2 linked regions of the Arabidopsis thaliana genome follow. The protein of the gene in region 1 purifies or fractionates together with the protein of each later gene. This does not show direct contact. Each region holds a gene or a part of one and is shown on either strand. Other genes may lie near its edges.

Region 1 (10,275 bases):
TGTGGAAGACAATGATGGTGAAAAGATCCTTCATCACGAGTATTTTCTTTTGAAGAAGCAGTATATTGATGAGGATCACACTTTGCACTTCACTGTGCCAATTTTTGAACCGTTGCCACCTCAGTATTTTGTTCGAGTGGTTTCAGACAAGTGGCTTGGCTCGGAGACTGTGTTGCCTGTATCTTTCAGGCATCTTATTCTTCCAGAGAAGTATCCACCTCCGACAGAGTTACTGGACTTGCAACCTCTCCCAGTGACGGCGCTAAGGAATCCGAATTATGAGATACTCTATCAGGATTTCAAGCATTTCAATCCAGTGCAGACTCAGGTCTTTACTGTTTTGTATAACACTAACGACAATGTGTTGGTTGCTGCTCCAACGGGAAGTGGGAAAACTATTTGTGCGGAGTTCGCTATTTTGAGGAATCATCATGAAGGACCTGATGCTACAATGCGTGTTGTTTATATTGCACCACTTGAGGCTATTGCCAAGGAGCAGTTTCGTATCTGGGAGGGGAAGTTTGGGAAGGGTCTTGGTTTACGGGTTGTTGAGCTAACTGGGGAGACAGCATTGGATCTTAAGCTGCTTGAGAAAGGCCAGATAATCATAAGTACTCCTGAGAAATGGGATGCTCTTTCCCGCAGGTGGAAACAGAGAAAATATGTTCAACAAGTTAGTCTTTTCATCGTCGACGAACTCCATCTAATTGGAGGTCAACATGGTCCAGTGTTGGAGGTAATCGTTTCCAGAATGAGATATATTTCAAGTCAGGTCATTAATAAGATCAGGATTGTTGCGCTATCCACTTCGCTTGCAAATGCAAAAGATCTTGGGGAGTGGATTGGGGCCAGTTCCCACGGCCTTTTCAACTTCCCTCCCGGAGTCCGTCCTGTTCCACTGGAGATCCACATTCAGGGAGTGGATATATCCAGTTTTGAAGCCAGGATGCAGGCGATGACCAAACCAACCTACACCGCCATAGTTCAGCACGCCAAGAACAAGAAGCCGGCTATTGTTTTCGTCCCAACCCGTAAACATGTCCGCTTGACTGCTGTGGATCTGATGGCTTATTCTCACATGGATAACCCGCAGAGTCCTGATTTCTTGTTAGGGAAGCTGGAAGAACTGGACCCTTTTGTTGAACAAATCCGCGAGGAAACACTGAAGGAGACACTGTGTCATGGTATTGGATACTTGCATGAGGGTTTAAGCAGTCTGGATCAGGAGATTGTGACACAGCTCTTTGAAGCTGGACGGATTCAGGTTTGTGTGATGAGCAGTTCATTGTGTTGGGGCACTCCATTAACTGCGCATTTGGTGGTCGTAATGGGAACGCAGTATTACGATGGGAGGGAAAATTCACATTCTGATTATCCAGTCCCTGATCTGCTTCAGATGATGGGGCGTGCTAGCCGACCACTTCTTGACAATGCCGGGAAGTGTGTGATCTTTTGTCATGCACCGCGGAAGGAGTATTACAAGAAGTTTTTGTACGAAGCCTTCCCTGTGGAAAGTCAGCTCCAGCATTTCTTGCATGATAATTTCAACGCAGAAGTGGTTGCTGGGGTTATAGAGAACAAGCAAGATGCCGTGGATTATCTTACATGGACTTTCATGTACAGGAGGCTTCCCCAGAACCCTAACTACTACAATCTCCAAGGTGTTAGCCACAGGCATTTGTCTGATCACCTATCAGAGCTGGTTGAGAACACCTTGTCTGATCTTGAAGCCAGTAAATGCATTGAGGTAGAGGATGAGATGGAACTCTCTCCTCTCAACCTTGGTATGATTGCATCCTATTATTACATCAGTTATACCACCATTGAGCGCTTCAGTTCACTGTTGTCTTCTAAAACCAAGATGAAGGGACTTCTTGAAATCTTAACATCGGCTTCAGAGTATGACATGATTCCTATACGGCCTGGCGAAGAGGACACCGTTCGAAGATTAATCAATCACCAGAGGTTCTCTTTTGAAAACCCAAAATGCACAGACCCTCATGTGAAGGCAAACGCGCTTCTTCAGGCGCATTTCTCAAGGCAAAACATTGGCGGGAACTTGGCAATGGATCAGCGTGATGTCCTTCTATCTGCAACCAGACTTCTTCAAGCGATGGTCGATGTGATATCAAGCAATGGCTGGCTGAATCTTGCTCTGCTAGCTATGGAAGTAAGCCAGATGGTGACTCAAGGCATGTGGGAGCGGGACTCCATGCTTCTGCAGCTCCCTCACTTCACAAAAGACTTGGCCAAGAGGTGCCAGGAGAATCCAGGGAAAAACATTGAAACCGTATTCGATCTTGTGGAGATGGAGGATGAAGAACGCCAAGAGCTTCTCAAGATGTCAGACGCTCAGCTTCTAGACATTGCCAGATTCTGCAACCGCTTCCCAAACATCGACCTTACTTACGAGATTGTGGGCAGTGAAGAGGTGAACCCAGGGAAAGAGGTTACATTGCAAGTGATGCTTGAGAGAGACATGGAGGGGAGGACAGAAGTGGGACCTGTGGATTCACTGAGGTATCCCAAGACCAAAGAAGAAGGATGGTGGCTGGTCGTGGGCGACACCAAGACAAACCAGTTGCTGGCAATCAAGCGTGTCTCATTGCAACGGAAAGTGAAGGTGAAGCTGGATTTCACAGCACCGAGTGAACCAGGAGAGAAGTCATACACACTATACTTCATGTGTGACTCTTACTTGGGGTGTGACCAAGAGTACTCGTTCTCTGTTGATGTCAAAGGATCCGGCGCTGGAGATCGCATGGAAGAATGATTTGTTATTCAGGTTAGTTCCACAGTTTTCTGGTCATAGTTTTCGGATTTAGATTCTGTACATGGTTGTAGTTTTTGTGTTACGAACTTGGCTTTACTAGATTCTGCTATGTGCATTGACCAACTCGCTTTCATCTATTGTTTGAGTAATTTGTTCATCAATCTGCTATTTTTCTGTTTCGTCTGTTTTCTTTTTGCATGAGCTATGTATTAGGTTTTACTCTTGAGCATTGATTTACTTATCTAGGTATTAGAATACAGGTATGCTCATGGTATATATATACCTAGTATTGTGAAATGATTGATTGATAAGTTAGTGAACAATGTTGATCAGCAAATTGTTAGAAATCTGTATAATTGGATGGTGATTTGATGTGTGCTTTGGATGGTGATTTGATATGTGTGCATCACTGCTATATGAAAACTGCTTTCTTGAATCATGTCTCATAAAAATCTCACATGATGTTCCTTTAAAATAGCTGATAATAGATTTTGTATTTTGAAATCCAGAAAATGACACATAATTTCTCTTCTTTGCAGGCTATGCTGATTCTGGAGAGTGTGACTTGTCTTCCAAAAAGCCTCCGTACCGTTTGGGTCTCTGCAATCTTAGCTCTCTGAGAATATATATTAAGGTGTAATCGTTTTTTTCTGGTCTTTTACTATTCCAATTACTCTTTTTATGTCGTGCATCGATTTTTAATCCTATGTATGGCTTGTTTCTAGTTTTGTTTGGACCAAACTCGACAGAGGAGCCAATGTCAAAACTACAATTTGAGTTTGTGACTTTGAAAGCTGAGATTACTTGAAAGAATTTTAAATGCAGCAGTGTTCATTTTGTAACATCTGAGTTGTGTGATACTGGCTTATTGAGTCACCGATAGTTTTTCCTTAAAACTAAAATGTACTATTGCAAGTAAAAACCAAACAAAAAAAATTCATTCAAACTTGCATTATAACCAAGTAAACGTGATCAATAGAAACTTGCAAAATCACAACCAAAATATTTGTCCAAACAATATGTAGTCAAAACAGTCTGTTGTGTTCATAAAAAAGTCATATAACGATACACCAAAAAGAAAGAAACGGAGGTGTTTGGTTGGTAGTATATTCCTCCTCCTCCTCTTTCTTCTTCTCCCTCCTCACTATATATTTTGAAGTTTATTAACAAGAACCAAAAAAAGTCACACTCGAAGTCTCACACCACACCAACCACTTCTTCTTCTTCTTCTTCTTCTACATAAAACCTAACGCCATGGATTCAGATTTCGGAATCCCCAGAGAACTCTCCCCTCTTCAGCAACTTCGATCTCAGTACAAACCTGAGCTTCCTCCTTGTCTCCAGGTCCCTTCTTCTACTTCATAGATCTACTTCCTTCCATTGTTCCTATCATTGGATTTATTTGAGTACTTAGTTTCTTATTCAATATTATCATTCTTGGATTTCTGCAACTATTCCAAGTTTTTGTTTATCTTAATTCGATGAACTTTGCTCCTTAAGCAGATCTGATTTCTAGATTGTATTGTTCTCGGATCTGTTTTATTTCGATTCCTAAGTTTCATTGGCAGTCTCTTCAGCTTTAATCAGTTGAACTTTGTCATTTTCTTATTCTGCTTGAAATTCGTTTCAGGGGACTACTGTCCGCGTGGAGCTTGGTGATGGAACCACTGTGGCTGAAGCTGCTGATTCACATACCATGGCTCGTGCTTTCCCGCATACCTTAGGCCAGCCTTTGGCTCACTTCCTCAGGGAAACTGCTCAAGTTCCTGATGCGCACATCATTACCGAGCTTCCTTCAGTTAGGTGTGTGAATCTGTTTGCTCTCTATCTATATGTTTCTGGATTGGCGTTTGTGTTTGATTTAAGTTCTATTCAGCTTAAGTTAGTTCTTTTTCTACTGTAGAGTTGGAATTGTGTTTTGTGGAAGGCAAGCTCCAGGTGGACATAATGTGATCTGGGGTCTTTTCGAGGCTCTCAAGGTGCACAACGCAAAAAGCACTTTGCTAGGATTTTTGGGTAAGTTCTATTATTTTTTATACAACTGCATCATTTGCCAGTTTAGAGATTTTTTGTTAGACTTAAGTAAAATTTGTTGTTGACTGATAATAGGTGGTTCCGAGGGTCTATTTGCACAAAAGACTCTAGAGATTACAGATGATATACTTCAGACTTACAAAAACCAAGGTACTTGTTTGATCAAGGCATTGTCGTCAAATGCAGAATCTCCCGTTCATTGCTTCAAGTTCTGATATATTGGTGTTGAAATGTATGTTGTAAGGTGGTTATGATTTGCTCGGAAGAACTAAGGATCAGATCAAAACAACTGAGCAGGTTAACGCTGCACTCAAAGCTTGCACAGATTTGAAGTTAGATGGCCTTGTTATCATTGGAGGTACCTAGCGTTTTTACTTATATTCATTGGCAAATTTTTGTCTTTAATTTTTACTAAACCAAGAATATATATTGTGGTTTTTGAAGGCGTAATATCAAACACAGATGCAGCTCATCTCGCTGAATTTTTTGCTGCTGCAAAATGCTCAACTAAGGTCCTAATTTCTTTTTCTACAGTTTCATTTTAAATTCCTTTATAAAAATGCTACGGTAATTAAGCTCCTATGAAATTACAGGTGGTTGGTGTTCCAGTTACTACAAATGGAGATCTCAAAAATCAGTTTGTGGAGGCAAACGTGGGTTTTGACACCATATGCAAGGTAAAATGTAAACTTTAACCATCTGGTTACTTTGTCTTAGTTATCTTTTGTAGCTATTGCAGCAACATGATGCCGTTGTCCCTCGTAAGTCTTTGCAGAAACTATATGTTATTGTTTGCTAATGATATTTTGCGGCATACAGGTGAACTCACAACTCATTAGCAATGCCTGCACTGATGCCCTTTCTGCAGAGAAGGTAAAAGCTATTTCTTCCTGAACTTTCATGTTGCAAGAGATTGCTAGGGCATTCTTAACTGCAGTTTATTAACTTCATATTCTGATAAGACGAAATATTTCGATGAAGGATGTGAAAGCAGAAAGCTACTACAAAGTTATATTCTTTATGATTCTGATATCAAGTTCTACTTTCTTTTTTATTTGCAGTATTATTATTTCATCCGCCTCATGGGTCGTAAGCACTCTCATGTTGCCCTTGAGTGTACACTCCAGTCTCATCCAAACATGGTTCGTAACTGTTTCAGTTTCGAAACATAGACTATTGATTCTGTTGGCATGTTCATGCTCTAGACTCTCATTATCGTGTCATCCGATTGTCTCAGGTGATACTGGGCGAGGAGGTTGCAGCATCTAAGCTCACAATTTTTGACATTGCTAAACAGATCTGTGATGCTGTTCAAGCAAGAGCAGTAGAAGGTCTCGTAATGAAAACCATCTATGATTAGATTATGCAATCATGTATTTTACTGTGTTTACTAAATCTGGTACTATTTCATTTGTTTGAACCAGACAAGAATCATGGAGTCATCCTCATTCCTGAAGGGCTTATAGTCAGTATTCCTGAAGTCTACGCTCTGTTAAAGGTAATGATTTGATACTTGTTTCTTTCTTCAATACTGAGATGTACTTCTTAGTATAAATCACGTATAAGCTGACATTTGTTTGATGTAGGAAATTCACGGGCTGCTGAGGCAGGGTGTATCTGCTGATAAGATTTCTACTCAGCTCTCACCTTGGTCATCTGCTTTGTTTGAATTTCTTCCTCCATTCATTAAGAAACAGGTTCAAATTCTTTGAAATTAGAATTATCTTTGTTTTCGTTCAAAGCAAAGGTGTATTAATACATATAAGATGGTCGCCTTTCTTGCTACAGCTACTTCTCCATCCTGAGTCTGATGATTCTGCTCAGCTATCCCAGGTAATTATGAAGAACAAACAGAATATTTTGGACCTACTATGTTATAAAAAAAAAGTTGGAATCCTAAATGCTCTTTTTGCTTTCTACTCTAGATTGAGACAGAGAAACTTCTTGCGTATCTCGTGGAGACTGAAATGAACAAGCGCTTGGTATGCTCCAATTTTATCATTGGTTTCTATCTTTTCCCAATACTGTTATCTAAATAATGGAGTCATTATTTGGCATCAAAAAATACTATTGCTAATGTAATGAAATCTTTGAATTTGACAGAAAGAAGGCACATACAAGGGGAAGAAATTCAATGCCATATGTCACTTTTTTGGTTACCAAGCTCGTGGATCTCTTCCATCGAAATTCGATTGTGATTACGCCTACGTAAGTCACTAACAGTCTGTGCCACAGTACCAATGCAACTTCATAATTTAGATGAATATTAACACTATTGAATGGGAGAATCATGCAGGTTCTTGGACATATATGTTACCACATCCTTGCAGCTGGTCTGAATGGTTACATGGCAACAGTGACCAACCTAAAAAGTCCTGTGAACAAGTGGAAATGTGGTGCTACACCTATTACAGTTGAGTTTTGTCGTATTTTCTATCTAAAAGACGGCGGTTAATACAGTGTATTTCTATACTAATTCCCCATTCTTTTATCTCTGGTATTACCTTTTAGGCGATGATGACGGTGAAGCATTGGTCCCAGGATGCTAGTTATACTTTAACTTCAATTGGTAGACCTGCAATTCATCCAGCTATGGTGGATTTGAAAGGCAAAGCATACGAGTAAGTCAGCTATTACAGAAAACATGAACACACTCACGTTTGGCCTTATTTATCAATTGTTTGAATGTGAATGGTTTTCTTGCAGCCTCTTGAGACAGAATGCACAAAAATTCTTGATGGAAGATCTGTACAGAAACCCAGGACCGCTACAGTACGATGGTCCTGGTGCGGATGCTAAAGCAGTGAGTCTCTGTGTTGAAGATCAAGATTACATGGGACGTATCAAGAAGCTGCAGGAATATCTTGACCAAGTAAAAACTTTTTGTTTTTGTGTTTTTCTCTGCTAATTTCGTCAAGTATCGAATAATGTTCTTCGCCACTTTCATATTTATTAACATTTTTGGGGTTTGGTCAGGTGAGGACGATAGTGAAACCAGGATGTTCTCAAGACGTATTGAAGGCAGCACTGAGTGTGATGGCTTCGGTGACTGATGTTCTTACTACTATTTCTTCAAATGGTGGTCAATGATTTGCTTAAAACTTAAGGACAAAGCTCTTATGAATCACACACGTCGTGTTTGTTCTCTTCTTTTTGTTTTCTTTCTTTTGAGATGTAACTTTTGTTGTATTTTTTAAGTTATTGAGTTTGGAAAGACATAAAAATTGAAAAGGTTTGGATTATAGAGGCGCTATTTCACCATATCAATCCTTGTCCAACTTTTATTTTTCAGTTTCACTATTATTACAAACTTTTTTTAAATATGACAATTAGGCATGCATGCATGATGCATATAGCAATAGCATCGCTTGAACACGATTTTGTTTACAAAAAGAATCATTAAAATTTTAAGAGTTACATTTTTAATCTTAACTACACCAAAATACTAGAAATACAGTGTATCTTGCAAACTAACTTTAACAACCAATGACGTGTCATGTTCCCAAATCCCAGTTATAAATTTTGATAGATTTTTGACAGTATCTTAGGTACAGCTTTGGCATAAATACACTTTTATTTATTTTAAAAACTATCTTTAGCCTAAATACATTGTTAGTTATTTAAAAATTAGAAACTAAATGAAGAAATTATTTAGATATTAAGAAATATTTATCATTAAAAGATATTAGATTTTGTCATTTTTTTATATTAGTAAATTTTCTTTGTTCAACTAATGAAATTAATAACTAACAGATTATTTTGCAAAATGACAAACCTATAAAATATATATTAATATTTGATTTTCAAATTATCTTGCAAAATCATTCAAAAATTTAACTAAATTTATATTAATGTTGTATTTGAATTTTTCTTATAATGGTGAGATACTGAGATTATCCTTGATTAGAATTGATTGTTACTTTTTTTTGGTAATAATATGTTGTCTATTATTATATATATATATATATATATATATATATATATATATATGTTGAAAATAACACAAAAATATTCACATACGCCAAGCAAAATAGAATCATGAATAATTTGCCAAGAAATTCTCAATTTGATTCATCTTCCATCATCAATGATTTACCTTTAGACCTTCTCGACGAGATTCTCTTCAGATTAGAACCCAAATCTATGGCTATGATGCGATGCACTAACAATTCTATCAAATCATATTTAAGTGATCCAAGATTTGGACCGGAATATCCTTCATGGGTCAGACCTAGTTTGTTTAACCTTGGTAGCTATGGCGCTACTTATGTATGTTGCCATCCTTTGGTCTCTTCATGCGATTATATGTCACCGGGAAATGGAGTAGAACTGTTTGATGGTAGTGCGGATTGTTACATTTTCGGCTCATGCTCTGGTCTTCTCCTATTGTACATTGGTTGTCTCTTTGTTGCAAATCCCTTAACAAAAAGGTTTCGAATCCTGGATCATTCTGGATCAAAGCTTATACCAATGATAGTTAATGGTGGACTTAAAGGTCTTAGCGGAATTAGTTATCCTGGAGGTAATGTTGCTTGTACGGAACGAGCGATGTGCGTTGGATTTGCGGTAAATCGAAATCTAACAACCAAGAGATTCAAGATCGTGGGCATACTCGAGATGGAAAACGTATACGGATTCGAGATCAACGAAGGAGACTCTTGGAGATTATCGGAAACGAGTATCACCACTAGCTCAAAAAGTGATCTCACTACGCGGATGAAACCTGTTTACTTGGACAACACTCTTCACTGGCTGAGAAACGATGGCAGCATCATGTCTTTTAATCCCGAGACAGAGCAAGCATGCTTGATTCCTTCCATATTTCATCGGGAACCGGATACGAAGCTACTTTTCGCGGAAAGCGTTAAGATCAATCGCCTGACCCTAATTTCGGGGACGATAGAAACAATCTCCGTTTACACACTTGTCGAGAATCACAAATGGACACTCACAAGGCGGATCAAGAACATATCTATCGAGGAAGAAACGCTTGTATATTGGAACATAGCTATGTACGATGGCAAGTGTCTTGTGGTGAGGGTGAAAAAGATGGGTTTAGAACCTTTGGCAAGTGTTCTTCATGTGTACGACATGGAAGCTAACAGTTGGGGAGTTTTGGTGTCAACCCTTGCTTGGCCCAATTGCGTCCGAGATTTCTATAAATTGACGCCCTCCTTGTTCTTTGTAGAGGAGGATGAGCAACAGAAGGTGCTTGTTGCTTCTAATGACCGACGCATCTCCTATATAAATTCGATTATGGGACTCATTGATACCACCAAGTAAACATTTAGGGCCTATAGATTATACAAAAAATGTCCTGATTTATAAGAATGTTTGTTTCCCATTTGCTTTTATCATTGCACTATTATGGTTTATGTATTTCAAATCTAAAAATTAGTTGTATATTACTATTTCTTTTGGGACAAAAAATCATTTAAGACAATGTTGTTTAAGAACTTGTTCTTCTC
Region 2 (11,132 bases), about 11 Mb from region 1:
TCGGCCAAGTTTGTGAGGCTTTGCTAGATCAGACATACGACACAAGGGCTTACTTTTGCTTCCGTCCATGGCTGTAGAATCTCTCAACTATGAATTCTCTTGCTTTAGAGATAGAGATAGACTTCCTTACCCACTTTGTAATGATTATTTTTCAGCCAGCTATATAATAAAGGCAGGAGCTAACTCGTATCTGCCAACTTGAGTTACTATTGCTGTCCCAATTACACTTTTTCGTTATTTTCTTATGAGTTATTGAATTGAAACGTTTTTGTCTTTTGAAATTATTTCTCTATATTTTAGTCTAGGATTTTAGGATTTAGTTTTTTATCTACTAGTAACATATATATCACTGTTTTCAGAAATGTGCAATTCATTTTCAGTCAATCCAAAACAAATTTAAAGGAACTTAGGTAAATCAATTCAGTTTTATGCTTTTGGTAACTAAAGCCGACCAGTCCATACCAAATCCTATTTTTTTTTTTTAAATAACCATTTCAACGCAAACGGGAAAGGATCATTTCACAAGGGATTATAACAGCCATTGGTAACTTTGACTAAAAGAGTGTGATACCACAAATTCCATCACAAGAACAGAGAAATTTAACAGATTCTTAAAACATGTGTAAAACGGTGTACAATGAAAGCAAATTAAGTAGAGGTTATTCTGACCTCACAGATTATGTAACCTCCCGACCAAATCAGTTGAGCTTCATTGATGCAAATGATGAAGCCATATCCAAAGCCGCCTGCACTTGAGAAGCATCCGTTCCCTAAAACCAAAACAACATGTTGAAGATTTAACATCTCTTTGTAGATGATACTATCACATTGTAGACTAAAGAGAATAGGACTCATACCTGCCCTGATGCAAGACCACCTTTCCCTTTCCCGCACCTTCCTTTTAGAGGACCCAATGCAGTTGTCAACCATTCAGTGACGTCTAACGGCTTAAACTGGTCTGATTTTTCTGGCACTCCTGCACACACAACCGCCTTGTTTGTGCTTTCATCTGTGCTGAACACCATTATCGACATACCCTGCAAGGTTAATCAAACGGAAACGTTAATTTAACTTTCTTGCTATCTATGAACAGGTTATGGTACAAGTGATGATGTAAGAAAATACGGATTACCTTCTTTTCCATGACTTTTGAAACGGCCTCTCGCACAGCTGCTGCATCAAGACCCACATCCAGCTGGATTATGCAGAAAGTCTTCCCATCTGATGCTGCGGACTCAGCTGCCTCTGTTGCTAATTTGACAGATTTTTTCAGGTTTTGTTCCGCTATTTTCTTCTGAGCTTTTCTTACTTCATTCTGCGAAGTTAGGAAAACAATAATTGCCACTTCAGAATTGCTTTGATTACAAAATTACAGGGAAATCTAGACAAAGCTGCTGACTGTAAGGCTGAAAGAGCTTATAACCTGAAGCGAAGCAATCTTAGTCCTAATATCTGCCTTTTTAGCTGCTGGGATAATTGCTGCATCTACTCGGCTTTTCAAAGCAGAAACTTTCTGTGAATGTGCAAATACAAACACAATAAGTTTTACGTGAATCCAAGTAACGACATCGTCTTCATTTTGTCAATAGTTTGACAAAGAGAGGGAGAAAACCTTTTCCAATGCACTTCCCTCCGCTCTGGAGGCATCCTCTACTTCTCTTTCAAGTAAGGACGCCGCATTCAATGCATCAAAAGCACATTCAGTAGTCACAGCAGTTACCCTACGAATACCTTTAGCAATTCCCTCCTCCGATAGAAGAGCAAATGCTTTGGCTTCGCGGGTGTTTGTTATGTGGGTTCCTGGAATTGTCAAAATAACCCTATACTCAACATTCTATTCAGAACGTAATATCTTGGTCCCAATAGCTAATGCCAATGGAAACAGACCTCCACAAAACTCGGAAGAAAGCAATGACCATTCATTGTTTTCAGGATCAGCCAAGAGATCCTCAACCTTCCTCCCAATTGACACCACTCTGACGGGATCGGGGTAGACCTAAAAAGAGTAAGAGAGAACGCTTTAACAATTCTTAGAAACCAAACTAAAAAGGTATAGCTACAGAACTGATGGACAGCTTACTTCTCCAAACACTGCTCTTAGACCTTTGATGCGCTTGGCTTCAGAAAGCACAGCTTCCTTGGAAAACACATCTAATTCATCCTTGATCTGTTTATTCACTATGGATTCGATCCTTCTCAAATCTTCAGGATCAACCGGCTTGCCTACTCGAAATTATGGAACCCATCAGACAATTAAGATGACCATCCACATCAAAATAAAAATGACTTTATTCAAAAATGTACCATGAGAAAAATCAAATCGCAGTTTTTCAGGAAGAACAATTGATCCCTTCTGATCAATATGATCCCCGAGCACTTCCTGAATTCATGGGACATGAATATTTTCAGATCCAATAGAAAAAATTAGAAAATCACAGTTTAGGTTACTTAAATTATAGAAAAGGGATACCTTCAGGGCATAATTCAACATATGTGTGCAAGTATGATTAGGAGCGATGAGTTTACGCCTCTCATAGTCAACCTATACGCATGAAAACGAAGGTGGAAACAAATTGGATAGTACCAAATATGGTGAATGAGACAAACACTGTTTGATGCAGAGAGTTACCTTGCAAATCACTTTATCACCCACAGATACCTCTCCAGTTTCTTTAGAGAGATAACCAATGTGAAGAACAAAGCCCCCAAATATTTGTACATTGCATACATTGAATGTCCCAAACGAGCCTTCTATAAGTCCAGTGTCAAAAATCTATTGCCAGAGAAAAAATGTTAGAGGCACAGAGTTTATATACATATAGATGATTGGAAGTGAATCAAAAGCTTAACCTTGTTCATGGATATGAAATCTAAAAATATTTATGTGACTGTCAACGACAACTTCAGAAATTAGTATGCAAAACCAACAATAACTATATCATGGTATTTGCCAGCCGATACATAAATTCAAACAATGCAGTTCTGATATGATTGTGTTCATGGTGTTACTGCCATGTCTACATTTGTATATATATACAAATCCAAGATGAACATACTGAAGACTGCAATTTCATGCCACCAGTCATATGATCAGAAATGAAAAACAATTAGCAAACTAAAATACATATCAAATAAAATGGATTACCTGACCACCCTGCTCAGCATAGAAGCTTGTAGACCCCAATACTAGTCCCACGTTATCACTAGCAGCTGAACTTTCTAGGAAAGTAGAGCCAGTATAGATTGCCTTTAGTTCACTCTCGTGGTCCTGCAGCGATATGTGGCAGAGTACCAATAAAGGTTTCTTTAAAGCAAAATCCATTTACTATTATATGCCCTAACTTCTTCATTTCTACGCCAACATAAGAACATTTCAGGTGCAACATGCAAGTTTTCTGGAATAAAAGGACAAACCTGGAACCAAATGTATTTAAAAGAATCATCTGTTGCTGAAACACCAGCCTTGTGCAATGTTGATGTAGCATCAGCATCCATAACAATGGCACCACCAGCTTGCTATAAAAAAATGACATTAAAAGATTGGTTAATAGATGATGTGATTGCAAACTTCGTTCATAGTCACACGTAAGTTTGGCATTAAACGCTCTTTAAGAAAGTAAACAAGAGGAAAGTTGAAACACCTTATTCTGGGCACTTCTCGATCTTTCCCTCGCCTCTTCCATGGCTTTGTTGAAACCATCAACATCAACCAGTAACCCTCTTTCTTCAGCCATCAACTGAACCCCGAGAATAAAAGTTAGAAAATAACACGAACATTCAGAAATAAGTATAAATGACTTACGTACCTGAGTTAAATCTAACGGGAAACCATATGTATCCCATAAGATAAAAGCATCCTGCAAAGAGAAGACAACATGTTGAGATAGAATTCAAACATCCCAGATGAAAATACTGCAACGCCTAACATACATCACAAAAATGATTCGATACGTACATCTCCACTCAGTGTATTCCCCTGAACCGCCTGTCCAGCTTTCCGAAATTTCTCAATTCCCTGCCGTGAAAATTTATAATCAGTCTAACTGTTCTTATACTCACCACCTATTCACATAAAAAAGGGAGGAACGACCAGGTAAAGCCAATTCATCTTTCAGAAAAAAGATTCCCTATAGAAAATACTATAATTATGTCTAACCATCATTAAAACTGAACAATGATGAAATTGGAAACAATCTATACAGAAATATCACATGCCACTGATTGAAGCTGTGAACTGTCTCTTTTACTTCAGTGCGACGAGCCAGAAGAACCCAAAACAAAATAAGATAAGAGGTTCAAAGCTTTGACGGAAATTAAATCCAGCCCTTACCTTTGCCAAGGTCTTGCAAAAGCTTGCTTCCTCTTCTTTAATTATATCTGTGATCTTTTTCTCATGTTCCTTCAACTCTGTAAAGACATCGCCCATCACCCGAATGACAGAACTTACAAGCCTACAGGTAATATGAAAGCCCGAGATAAAACATGTGTCAAAAAAATATGCTCATTTATAAAGATACAAGACAGAAATAAACGTTCCAGCTACAACGAAACAATATTTGAAACAATATTCAAACAAAACATGCAACGAAAATCAAACATAATTTCCTACCCGTTGAAAAATCCTTCTTCAGCTTTTAGGATCTCCTTTCCATAGCGAACCGCTCGACGAAGAATACGCCGCAGAACATACTCACGGCCCTCATTACCTGCAAGAGATAGTATATTAATTGGTACTTGTTAGACTACAAGAAATAACAAACCTCTATTTGTATAACATAACAGATTGTCTGAGGAAGAAAATTGACAAACTCATCATGCCCAACTTAGAATAAATGAACCAAAAACACTTTTTCTGAGAACATATAAGTATGAACTCAAATAAATGATTGAATACTAAGACGATTGTATTTTCTGTAACCACCACAATTGTGATTGAGACAAGAAACCAAGTATATACCAGGACGAGAGCCATCCGCAATTGCAAATGATAGGGTTCTAATATGATCAGCAACCACTCTATATGCCATGTCAACTCTGTCAACATCTTCCGGACCAACTTTTCCAGAATATGGCCTAGCTCCCGTTGCCTAAAAAAGTGAAAGCATCAACACCTAAACTTAAGATTCGCAACAACTAGGGTAAACAGAGCAATTTGAAGATTTTTTCAATCCTCTCACTAAGAAAAATACATGAAAAGTGACACAGCTAACAACGAATAATCTCCAGGATACCCATAGTAGAATGCCTTTATCATGAAATCCAAATTCAATAAACCAGAAATATTCAAAAACAATTGACGGAGTCTCGACGTAAAGCATAGAACCCATGATCCACTTCAAAATTGATGAACTAAAATGATGATAGTACTAATTAAGGTGACAAATGCGTCCCTAAGAGGAGGCCAAACAAAAATAACTCAATGAAACCATCATTAAACAGCTGTCATGAAACCATCAACAGAAGTTTTCACAAATTACCTTTTGGATGTCATCAAAGATAGGCATGAACACATCTGTATCATAGTTGCTCATTTTGTTTTGAAGAACAGAAGTCAACCTCTCGAAGCCCATCCCGGTATCAACATGCTTAGCAGGCAGAGGTTTTAGCGAGCCATCACTTTCTCGGTTGAACTATTTTGAAGACATAAGTAACATCCCAGTCAGAGGAAACAATTGGGAATATGATAGCACAGCTAAAGGAGCAATAACAATCTAGCTAACTGCACAATATAGAGTTTTCAGTAACACAATCTACAAAATCATTAAAACAATTGTGATATTGAGATAAAGATTAGTAAAATGGAACTAAATAACAATTGGGACAGAGAGGGTTTGTACCTGAATAAAGACAAGATTCCATATTTCTAAACATGTTGGATCGTCATTGTTAACTAAGGATGCAGCATCACGGTTACCAATGCGATCATAATGTATTTCAGTACAAGGTCCACACGGACCTGTGTCGCCCATTTCCCAGAAATTGTCCTGCAGTTTAATCAAAAGTTAAATGAAAGAAAAACAGCATTTAAAAACCCTTAAGTTTTACATTTTGTACAAGATTTTGACTGTAAATCATAAACAATGGTTTTTAAAGCCTGCCAACTACCAAACATGATAGCGTATTCCTAGCCAAAATGCATTCAAGCTTACAGTTGGTTGTCGTTAGCATTGACAAACAGATGTGTCAATATATACAAGAAACAATGGTGACAATACAAAGGCAACTTAGCTGAAGTACTTGTGAAGTAACCTCAGGAGAGAGGAAATCAATGAGTAGTGGATTCAAAAAAATTAGGTAACAGATTAAAAGTTATTATCTTAAATAATCAATACATACTTTGCAACCAAATGGCAGCACACGTCCAGATGGAAGAACCTTCAACCATATATCCCTAGCCTCATTATCAGGTTGAAGGCCAGCTTTCTCATCACCGCCAAAATATGTAGCGTAGATTCGATCAGTCGGTAGCCCATAGACCTGAGGCATGAAAACAGGGAGGTATCAACCTCAATGAAATAAACAACCTCAACGAAAAGAGAATAGTAACTTTACAAAATTATGAAATACTGTCACAAGGTATCTAACTGAAATGTACAACCAAATGAAAAGAGAAGAATCACTTTACAAAACTGAAATGTACAACCAAATGAAAAGAGAAGAATCACTTAACAAAATTGAGACATACCGTCCCAAGGGAGGGAGACAATAGTTTACTGAATAATACCATGTATATTTTTCTTAAATCAAGTAAACAGAGACAAATTTCCCAGGTATTTAATTACCTTGGTTAAGAGCTCCCAAGCCCATTCGATAGCTTCCTTCTTGAAATAATCTCCAAAGGACCAGTTACCAAGCATTTCAAAGAAGGTGTGATGGTACGTATCTTTGCCGACATCATCCAAATCATTATGCTTTCCACCAGCACGAATACACTTTTGGGTGTTACATGCCCGAGATAGCTTGCTAAGCTCAGTATTTGGATCGGCCGTACCCAAAAATATTGGCTTATACTGGTTCATTCCTTGAAAAACAGAGAAGTTTCAATGTCATTAATAATTCTATTTTTCGCCAGACATATCAAGAGAACTTAATTTACATAGCTCAGTATCAATATCAGAAAATTTCGACCAAAACTGAAATTGAGAAATTTGAATAAGTCCCAAAGCTTCAAAGACAAAAGAAGACAGAATAAGTCAACTCTATAGAATCTGAATTCCATAGATCAACTTGGACAAATTCCCAATCTTATCGGCAAAAACAGATATGAGGAATCGAAGTTATCGTACCAGCGTTAGCGAAGAGAAGAGTAGGATCATTATGAGGAACAACGGGGCTTGATGGCCAGAACTTGTGGCCTTTGCCTCTGAAGAAATCGACATAAGTATCCCGGACTCTCTTTGCTGGCCACTGAGTCTCCGATGGTTCGGAACCCGGCATGACTGCGACGGAGGAAGACGTCGACGAAGAGGAAGAAAAACGGAAGTGAGAGAAAAAAGGGCGGCGGAGATGGGAAGAGTAAAAAACCCTAGACGGAGGTTTGGTTGAAGAAATCAGAAGAGAAGCTGCCTTCACTAATCTCATTCAAACCAATAAAAGACCTTCTCTCTCTCCTCCTATCCTATTTTCTACCGTTAAAATTTATTTAATCCGATTCCTTTTCCGCAAGATATATTATTTTAAGGGATAATACTTAAAAAATAAAAAAAGTAAAATTTGGAAAATACATTTTGTTCATCAAAGGATAACATTAAAAAAAAAACGAGAGTAAATTTTGGTTCTCGTTTAGATAAACTGTTGGGTTTGCTGCCACTAGCCGTGAGACTGCCTCGCATGTTATTGTTTGTTTCGTTGTTGTTGTTGCTGTTGTCGTTGCCGCAAGTTTTGAATTTGTTTTGCTGCTACTGTTGCAAATTTTTGTATTCGTTTCTCAGATAATACTATAGTTTTACACGTAATTTTTTTTTTTCCAATCAACCAAATGTAATTCTAATATATTTTTGTTACTTGAATTTTTTTCATATTTGAGTTTTTCTCTTTTTATTATGTGGATTGATATGATCTATATATAAAAATTATTCTTATTCTTGTTAAATATTAATCTAAATACTATTTTTATAGTATAAAAAATGAATGATATTATTTTGATGTAAACTACCTAAAATTTTATAACAATAATGAGTTTTTACGCTATTGATCAAATTGGGTTGGATGGATTTCTGTTACATATTGGTTACAGTTATTAAAAGGGAAAAATGTTATTTAATACCTCAACTTTCAAATTATGACAGTTTTATACGTTAACTTTATATATGGTCATTTTAAACATGAAGTTATCGTTGATCACCATTTAAACCATGAATATTTTATTGACCAGGCCAAAAAAATTAGTCGTTAACGGATTATTCAACTCCCGTTAACACCTCCATTAACCATTCTAAACGACGTCGTTTTCGTTTTTCTTTAAAAAGAAATGACAGACCTGGGATTCGAACCCCTATCATTTGAGAAAAATCAAAGGTCATTTGACCACTCTACCTGCAAAGATTTCTCTGTCATTCTATACAAACACAGATACTTATATACGCTTAAAGTTCTTCTTCTTCATCTTTAACGAAACAAAACATTTCCATAGTAAAGCTTCCATTGAAGAACACCTCCGATTTTGAACACTTCGATTTCTCCATGGACTTCTACCATTTAATACAAGCCTCATCAAGCACCCCTATTCATTGAAGAACACCTCCAAACCTTTTTTTCCCGCCAAAAAAAAAAAAATCCCGCCAAAAATAAATTTCCCGCCAAAATTTTTTCTCGTAAATTTTGTTTCCCAGCAAAAAAAATGCTTTTAAAAATCCTTGTAAATTTTTTAAAAACTCTTTTAAAAAACCTTGTAAAGTTTTTTAAAATCTTTGGTAATTGCTAAAAACCCTTGTAAATCATTTTAAAACCTCTTAAAATCTTTATAAAGTCTTTAAAAACATAGGTAAATACTTTAAAACCCCTTTTTAAACCTTTGTAAATCATTTTAAAACTTTTTACAATAGTTTTACAAGATTTACAATCGTTTTTTAAGCATAAGTAAGTGGCATTGAATGATTTACAAGGGATTTTGAAAACTTATAAAAGGGTAAAACATGATTTACAATCGTTTTAAAGCATAAGTAAGTGGCATAAAATGATTTACAAGGGATTTAAAAAAGGTTAGCATGGTTTACAATCGTTTTTTAAGCATAAGTAAGTGGCATTGAATGATTTACAAGGGATTTTAAAAGCTTATAAAAGGGTAAAACATGATTTACAATCGTTTTTAAAGCATAAGTAAGTGGCATTGAATGATTTACAAGGGATTTTAAAAGCTTATAAAAGGGTAAAACATGATTTACAATCGTTTTTAAAGCATAAGTAAGTGGCATTGAATGATTTACAAGGGATTTTAAAAGCTTATAAAAAGGTAAAACATGATTTATCATCGTTTTTAAAGCATAAGTAAGTGGCATAAAATGATTTACAAGGATTTTTAAAAAGGGCTAGCATGGTTTACAATGTTTTTTTAAGCATAAGTAAGTGGCATTGGAATGATTTACAAGGGATTTTAAAAGCTTATAAAAGGGTAAAACATGATTTATAGTAACGAAAACGACATCGTTTAGAATGGTTAACGGAGGTGTTAACGGGAGTTGAATAATCCGTTAACGACTATTTTTTTTGGCCTGGTCAACGAAATATTCATGGTTTAAATGGTGGTCAACGATAACATCATGTTTAAAATGACCATATATAAAGTTGACGTATAAAACGGTTATAATTTGAAAATTAGGGTATTAAATAACATTTTTCTCGTTATTAAAAAGCAATATATCTCTGCAAATGGACACACCAAAAAGCCAAACACAATTTGATCAAATTACCATCATTACTCCAAATTATCATCGTTATTCAAAGTATTTCAAAGTTAAGACATAAGTTCGCAAGAAGACACTTCACATATCCAGCTACAGATGATAACTGGATGAACCTGTAAGAAATAAAAAGTTAAAAATGAAAGTCAGATACATCAACAAGAACCAGTACTAATTCGATTAGAGTCATTCACATCTAAAATCAATCTGAGTCCAGTTTTCAAAGAACACAGTTTCAATCACAGAGAGGCAGAAAAAACATACTTGATCAAGACCAAAAACTCCAAGAAATGTTGCAAGTTATGTCTTCAGTAGACAAAATAGATGCATATAATAAGAGACTAGCCATAGAGAATACTTGTGATATAAGAAGAAATCTGCAAAAAAAGAAGAAAAAATATTATTATTTTTACAGAAGGAAAAAAGATCTCGGATGAACTGATTCAGAAAAGTATTTGGACACAGAAAACTAGTAGTCGTTCATCAACGACGGAAGTAACTCCCTAGTTGCAGCAACTGCGTACCGCATATCCCTTAAGAGTTGTTTCTTTTCCAGCTGCTCATTTACAATGGTGACAAACTTGAGAACAAAAGAGAAGCTAACCTCAATATGCAGCATTGGTCGCTTTATATGCTGATCCCAGGGGTGTGCTTCATGAGCAACAATTGAAGCTAACATGTGAAGAGAGTTGGGAGCTGTTGGAGAAAATTTCATTATCTGGAAGAGAAAATATAGGTAATCATTAGGCTCTAATCTTTCTGCAGCATATATACTATCATACTTGACACACTTATTCACCTGATATGCAGAGCCAATGTTGGTTAAGAAAATGGAGGAGATTGGGAAGCAGATAATTGTAAGGTGTGGAGGTTTACCTCTAGCTATAACAGTTCTTGGAGGATTTCTGGCAATGATAAGTACATGGAACGAGTGGCAAAGAGTATATGAGAACATCAAATCATATGTTTCAAATGGAGTTAGTAGCAATGGAAGTAAGAACATGCTAATTGCATATGTTGCAATAGTAAGAGACGACACAAGCAAAAAAAAACAAAAACATTCTATGCATGCTTTCTTGAAATTCAAGGTATTCCAATTAAATAAAAACTACAACAGAAATTAGGGTAATAGAAAGAAAAAACCGAACACTTAAACTAGAATATGAATAATGGATTTAAAAAATATACCATTTTATTATATAAAATACAATAAAGAATTAATTTTACAATTAA

Evidence for each region.
Region 2: the proteins of AT1G20950 (region 1) and ALATS fractionate together in Arabidopsis thaliana (co-fractionation; one large-scale study listed by BioGRID). This does not show direct contact.

The regions. Positions count from the first base shown.
Region 1 is NC_003070.9:7,295,089-7,305,363, reverse strand, and holds AT1G20950 (Phosphofructokinase family protein), read left to right. Parts: upstream 1-3,730; 5' UTR 3,731-4,027; coding exon 4,028-4,117; intron 4,118-4,403; coding exon 4,404-4,576; intron 4,577-4,676; coding exon 4,677-4,789; intron 4,790-4,882; coding exon 4,883-4,957; intron 4,958-5,051; coding exon 5,052-5,165; intron 5,166-5,251; coding exon 5,252-5,319; intron 5,320-5,400; coding exon 5,401-5,484; intron 5,485-5,626; coding exon 5,627-5,680; intron 5,681-5,868; coding exon 5,869-5,949; intron 5,950-6,044; coding exon 6,045-6,138; intron 6,139-6,231; coding exon 6,232-6,305; intron 6,306-6,393; coding exon 6,394-6,504; intron 6,505-6,595; coding exon 6,596-6,640; intron 6,641-6,732; coding exon 6,733-6,789; intron 6,790-6,910; coding exon 6,911-7,015; intron 7,016-7,103; coding exon 7,104-7,220; intron 7,221-7,318; coding exon 7,319-7,428; intron 7,429-7,513; coding exon 7,514-7,679; intron 7,680-7,783; coding exon 7,784-7,897; 3' UTR 7,898-8,125; and 1 more. Other genes in the region: emb1507 (U5 small nuclear ribonucleoprotein helicase), read left to right, coding at 1-2,773; AT1G20940 (F-box family protein), read left to right, coding at 8,846-10,090. UniProt on the Arabidopsis thaliana protein: Regulatory subunit of pyrophosphate--fructose 6-phosphate 1-phosphotransferase.
Region 2 is NC_003070.9:18,590,731-18,601,862, forward strand, and holds ALATS (Alanyl-tRNA synthetase), read right to left. Parts: upstream 7,750-11,132; 5' UTR 7,582-7,749; coding exon 7,287-7,581; intron 7,022-7,286; coding exon 6,783-7,021; intron 6,478-6,782; coding exon 6,337-6,477; intron 5,985-6,336; coding exon 5,838-5,984; intron 5,631-5,837; coding exon 5,478-5,630; intron 5,088-5,477; coding exon 4,958-5,087; intron 4,707-4,957; coding exon 4,610-4,706; intron 4,452-4,609; coding exon 4,331-4,451; intron 4,016-4,330; coding exon 3,956-4,015; intron 3,858-3,955; coding exon 3,807-3,857; intron 3,738-3,806; coding exon 3,642-3,737; intron 3,517-3,641; coding exon 3,415-3,516; intron 3,269-3,414; coding exon 3,146-3,268; intron 2,774-3,145; coding exon 2,630-2,773; intron 2,543-2,629; coding exon 2,471-2,542; intron 2,381-2,470; coding exon 2,305-2,380; intron 2,224-2,304; coding exon 2,081-2,223; intron 1,997-2,080; coding exon 1,888-1,996; intron 1,801-1,887; coding exon 1,613-1,800; intron 1,514-1,612; and 9 more. Other genes in the region: AT1G50190 (Cysteine/Histidine-rich C1 domain family protein), read right to left, coding at 1-69.